Saccharomyces cerevisiae S288C: one gene and its partner. The protein of the gene in region 2 binds, or shares a complex with, the protein of the main gene of each other region. Each region holds a gene or a part of one and is shown on either strand. Other genes may lie near its edges.

What was found. The genes of interacting proteins can lie anywhere in the genome.
Region 1: RPL1A (region 2) and RPL22B share a complex: the UniProt entries of both Saccharomyces cerevisiae proteins name them as parts of the large ribosomal subunit.

The regions. Positions count from the first base shown.
Region 1 is NC_001138.5:63,663-66,667, forward strand, and holds RPL22B (60S ribosomal protein eL22 RPL22B), read right to left. Parts: upstream 1,271-3,005; coding exon 1,259-1,270; intron 938-1,258; coding exon 581-937; downstream 1-580. Other genes in the region: MOB2 (Mob2p), read right to left, coding at 1-197, 312-331; MIL1 (Mil1p), read left to right, coding at 1,815-3,005. UniProt on the Saccharomyces cerevisiae protein: Component of the ribosome, a large ribonucleoprotein complex responsible for the synthesis of proteins in the cell.
Region 2 is NC_001148.4:133,765-136,969, forward strand, and holds RPL1A (60S ribosomal protein uL1 RPL1A), read left to right. Parts: upstream 1-2,025; coding exon 2,026-2,679; downstream 2,680-3,205. Other genes in the region: FLC1 (flavin adenine dinucleotide transporter), read left to right, coding at 1-1,660; PCL8 (Pcl8p), read left to right, coding at 2,986-3,205. UniProt on the Saccharomyces cerevisiae protein: Component of the ribosome, a large ribonucleoprotein complex responsible for the synthesis of proteins in the cell.

The sequences.
Region 1 (3,005 bases), on a different chromosome or scaffold from region 2:
TCAATTGCTGTGATTGCGGCGTAGACTTTTGTGCGGGGAAACTTGTTTGAGAATGCCTCTTAGGCGAATGATGTTTATTTCTTAACGATAATCTGGAATTGCTGCTGTGGGGGCTTGAATAAATGGTGTTCATTGCTGGCGGCTGAGCAACATTAAGGGGCTGGTTTTTATTTTTCTTTGAGTTTCTTCCGAATGCTCTGTTTTGCAAAGTATACACGTAGGATCAAATGATTTGATTAGGTGTGTTGGCTAGTTAGTAAAATGATAACGCAGGTCCAGAAGAAAATAAAACGACAACAGTGTGAACATACTTGAAGTTGAAGAAGGACATGATGTGCTGATAAATGCTTGGTTGGCTTGCGGAATTGGGGTAGTTGCTTTTCTTAAAGTTTTTTGATGATCTTCGTGTTTCAAAAGCTAAAGCATTTCTTTTTCTTTTCTATTTTTCACTAATTTTCGTGAAGTGACATATTGCAAAAATAAAATATGTAAATCAAAAGAGGGACAAAAGGATATATTAAGGGTGGTGAATTATGATATGAATAGCATTTTATAAATTAATATACATGTGAGTGTCTATTTATTCGTCATCCTCTTCTTCGTCAGCATCTTCAGGGGTGACTTGATAGAAAACCAATTTGTATTGGTTTTGCCTTATAGAGACGAATCTGATCCAGTCTCTTAGCTGATTCTTCTTCAAATACTTCTTTGTTAGATATTTCAAGTATTTACCAGAAAATTTGGCACTGGATACTACAGTGACTATAGAACCATCTTCAGTAACCTCAATGGCGTTCCCTAAGTTTCCTACGGCACCATCTACTTTAATATGATCGATTAAGTACTTGGAATATGAAGCCGGATCGAAGACTCCGTTTTCAGTTGGAGAGGAAACGTCAACGGTTAAGGTTTTGATAACTTTTTGCTTTCTGGAAGTCTGTTACAGTTTTATGTTAGTAATCCCAACTGAGATGAAATCATCCTTGTCGTTTGGACGAGGAAAAAATGTCTGGCCTACTGCTATTAACAATCACTTCATATAGCTAGAGAAAGCGCATTGCCTCTGTTAAAGCTATAAGGGGTGAATTTTTAAAATACAGAATAGCTGAATACATAAAAATGTAACTTCGAGATGGAATCCACTAGTTCGCTGTGAAAGCGGGACTGTTCAATGAACTGTAGGAATAGACAAACTTTTTAAAGATTTTATTTTCTTTCATGTTCTCTAATTGTGACATAGGAACGAAAATTAACGTACGTTTGGAGCCATTGTGGTTGATATTTGTGAAACGATATAGGTTTACTGTGCTACGGTGTTTTTATGATCCCAGATGTTCAAAAAAAATCAATAATTATCAATTAATCGTGTACTTTAATAATCCATATATGAATCATTTAGGTAATTAGCTCTTTTTTGCTTGAAAAATTCATCCATTCGGCTCGCGTTGTCTAAAAAAAAAAGTTTGGAAACTTTTTTGTATAATTTATGGGTGTTATCTCTGAATATGTACGGGTGTTGACATGGAGAAAGCAGTCTCGATATTTTGCCGACCTTAATGCTTTAAGAATATGAAAGGAAATGCGGTGCAAATAAACGATCCTATCGTGGTAGTAGGAAAGGGTGTGTACTACTAATAGAGAATTATACCATACGCTAGTTTGTTTCCGAGTTTGAATAGCTTCGTATTTTCCTTACTGGCTGGTACAGTTAGTTTTAGTGATTCTATTAGTGATTGGAAAGCATAGTGGAAGGGTTTCTCGAACGTAATAGAGGCAGAGTTAAAAGAGAAGATTAAACATTACAGTACTAAAAGATGTCCGATTCGGAGGAAGATTTAGGTGTACAGTTGAAAGGCTTGAAGATAGCGAGGCATTTGAAGGAGTCAGGGGAGCATACTGATGAAGAATCCAACTCAAGCCCCGAACATGATTGCGGCTTGAGTAATCAAGATGATTTAACTGTTATGCATACACAGGCTAAAGAAGAAGTTTTTAAACGAAGAGAAGAAGACGGAACACGAACCGAAGATGCTTTACATGAGGGAGAAGCAGGAAAAGAGGGCACAGGTTTTCCCTCATCACAGTCAGTGTGCAGTCCTAATGAAGCAGATAGCGGTATTGATCGGGCCGATAAACCTATTTTGCTGGACCCTTTTAAATCTGTGCACGATACGGATCCTGTTCCAGGTACAAAGTCCAGGAGCAATTCAGACTCCGACTCTGATTCAGATGATGGAGGCTGGCAAGAGATGCCCGCTGTCTCATCGTTCAATATATATAACCACAGAGGCGAACTAGAGTTGACTTCCAAGGTTAGAAACTCAGAACAAGCCTCTGAGACGTCTCCCACAGTTCCTCCAGGAAAAAATTGCAAAAGTGTCAATGATTCTAGATTTGACTATACGAAAATGGCCGCTGAGCAGCAAGCCCAACGATCCTATCGAACAAATAAAAAAACAGATTTCCTTTTTGACCACAAAGTACTGAAAAAGAAAATTAACAGTTCGCAAACTTCCGTAAATTTGACTTCTTCCCCTTCGACTACATCCTTGAACAATGAAAAAAATAATGATGACGATGATGATGATTCTTATGACGAATATGAGGACGACGTGGAACCAGTGAACGACTTGAATCGGGACTCGCAGTTAAACATAACGAAAAATCTGCTATCTGATATGGAGAAGTTTGCCTACGTAGGTGCAATAAACATTTTGGCAAATCAAATGTGCACGAATTTGGCTACGCTGTGTCTTTGTATTGACATTAAATCCCACAAGAAACTAGCACATAGATTACAGTTTACCCAGAAGGATATGGCTGCTTGGAAAACTGTGGTTTTATCACGGCTATATGATCATTTGGGGATATCTCAAGAAGAAATTGTTATGATTGAGAAGCTTTCTCTGCACAAAATCCAATTGGAAGATTTGTGTAAATGTTTGAAAACCACTCAGAGCATTGATAATCCATGGGAGAATGATAGAGACCACGAAGAAGACGGT
Region 2 (3,205 bases):
TACATTTATGCAGAAAATCTTCCGTTGGTATGTAGAGGCGACTGGAGGCTCCGCATCTCTATATTTGACCGCGACAACAATGTCAGTGCTCACTCAACGAGGTCTGGATTACCTTAAAAATACTTCGGTTTACAAGAGGGCGGAAAATGTCTTGTACGGTAACTCAAACACTTTAATCTTTCGAGGAATTAAAAGAATGGGATACCGTATGAAGATTGAAAATACGGCCATCGTTTGTACTGGGTTCACATTCTTTGTGCTGTGCGGTTATTTTTTGGCCGGGTTTATCATGGCCTGCAAATACAGTATCGAGTTATGTATAAGATGTGGTTGGATGCGGAGTGATAGGTTTTACCAATTTAGGAAAAACTGGAGGTCAGTTCTGAAAGGATCGTTGTTAAGATACATCTATATTGGGTTCACGCAACTGACAATTTTAAGTTTTTGGGAGTTCACTGAACGGGATTCCGCCGGTGTTATTGTTATTGCATGCCTATTCATTGTATTGTCATGCGGGTTGATGGCGTGGGCTGCGTACAGAACCATTTTTTTCGCAAGTAAATCTGTGGAAATGTACAATAACCCAGCTGCTTTATTGTATGGTGATGAGTACGTCTTAAACAAGTACGGGTTTTTCTACACCATGTTCAACGCAAAACATTATTGGTGGAATGCTCTTTTAACGACGTATATTCTTGTAAAAGCTTTATTTGTCGGATTCGCACAGGCATCAGGTAAAACGCAAGCATTGGCTATTTTCATTATTGACTTGGCGTATTTTGTTGCCATCATCCGTTATAAACCATATTTGGACCGTCCAACGAATATTGTCAACATTTTTATTTGCACTGTCACCTTGGTCAACTCTTTCCTTTTCATGTTTTTCTCAAACTTGTTTAACCAAAAGTATGCTGTCTCTGCCATCATGGGCTGGGTGTTTTTCATTATGAATGCTGCGTTTTCTTTGCTTCTACTGTTGATGATTCTGGCCTTTACCACAATCATTCTGTTTTCTAAGAATCCTGACTCCAGGTTCAAGCCAGCAAAGGATGACAGAGCATCTTTCCAAAAGCATGCTATTCCTCATGAAGGTGCCTTGAATAAGTCAGTGGCCAACGAATTAATGGCCCTAGGTAATGTGGCAAAGGATCATACCGAAAATTGGGAATACGAACTGAAGAGTCAAGAAGGTAAAAGTGAAGATAATCTTTTCGGAGTTGAATACGATGACGAGAAAACAGGAACTAATTCAGAGAATGCTGAAAGTAGCAGTAAGGAAACCACCCGTCCAACCTTTTCTGAAAAGGTTTTACGTTCATTATCAATCAAAAGGAATAAGAGTAAACTGGGCAGTTTCAAGCGCAGCGCTCCGGATAAGATAACACAACAAGAGGTTTCTCCTGACCGCGCCAGCTCTTCGCCTAACAGCAAGTCATACCCCGGTGTCTCGCACACCAGGCAAGAATCTGAAGCGAATAATGGGCTAATCAATGCATATGAAGATGAGCAATTCAGTCTGATGGAACCAAGCATACTGGAAGACGCTGCTAGTTCCACCCAAATGCATGCTATGCCAGCCCGAGATTTGAGCTTGAGCAGTGTTGCAAACGCCCAAGATGTTACTAAAAAAGCAAACATCCTGGATCCTGATTATTTGTAAGCTTTGTCGATGGGATAAAGGTAAAAAGAACAACGTAATTAAATCATTACGAAAACTCTACTGCATTATTTTTTAGTCTTTTTATAGAGACATGAACATTCAATTACTTTCAAGGATAAATATTCTAATATTCATATTATTCACTTATGTATTTTTAACGAAACTCTACTCCATTCTACTGGGATCGGGCATACTTTACGGGGTGCACGGATTTTAGCAGTCTTTTTCTTTCTTGGCTTTTGCGAGATGCCTTGAGAGGAAGATTTTTTTTTCACTCAAAACCTCTGTCTTGTACATATCTAGAACATGTTTCATTGATATTGGACGTTACTATTTCAATTTAACAGTCAACCAGTCGTCCAAAAATGTCCAAGATCACTTCTTCTCAAGTCAGAGAACACGTCAAGGAATTGTTGAAGTATTCCAACGAAACCAAGAAGAGAAACTTCTTGGAAACCGTCGAACTACAAGTCGGTTTGAAGAACTATGACCCTCAAAGAGACAAGCGTTTCTCTGGTTCTTTGAAGTTGCCAAATTGTCCAAGACCAAACATGTCCATCTGTATCTTCGGTGATGCTTTCGATGTTGACAGAGCTAAGTCTTGCGGTGTTGACGCTATGTCCGTCGATGACTTGAAGAAGTTGAACAAGAACAAGAAGTTAATCAAGAAGTTGTCTAAGAAGTACAACGCTTTCATTGCTTCTGAAGTTTTGATCAAGCAAGTTCCAAGACTATTGGGTCCTCAATTGTCCAAGGCTGGTAAGTTCCCAACCCCAGTTTCTCACAACGATGACTTGTACGGTAAGGTCACTGATGTCAGATCTACCATCAAGTTCCAATTGAAGAAGGTCTTGTGTTTGGCTGTTGCCGTTGGTAACGTTGAAATGGAAGAAGACGTTTTGGTTAACCAAATCTTGATGTCTGTTAACTTCTTTGTTTCTTTGTTGAAGAAGAACTGGCAAAATGTTGGTTCCTTGGTTGTTAAGTCCTCCATGGGTCCAGCTTTCAGATTGTACTAAGCATAATTACGTGTTTTCATAGTTTAACGCTTTCAGAACTACTTATTTAATTTTGTAAGAAGTAATTTGAGTCACATTTGTATTTAGTAAAAGATTAAGAGTATTTCTATTTCACCGCCTTGATAGGAAAGAGCGGCGCGGAAGGGCAGCTGTAGGGAATTTTGCTCTGTATTCCCCTGTTTAATATCAAAAACAACAGAGAAGGATCCCCGATGAGAAAGACGCTCGGGAGGTCTCTGTGTTTGCTAGGCAATTGACATATTTAAAAGATTTTGTTTGAGGTTTTGCAGATAAACAAGAAGCAGTATGGCTAATGATCAAGATCCCAACAAGTCTCTCATTAATGACGCTTTGACTCGGAGTATGTCCGAATTTTATGATGATGATGATGATAACGACAGTGACATGTGTAGGGCAAATGATGAGGGAGAAGACGTTTTTGACCTTCCACTTAAGGTAGGCGTTTCTCAAAGCAGGAACTTTTCAGAAGTAAATGACGTGTTAGACCCGCTTTCTAGTTTGCATG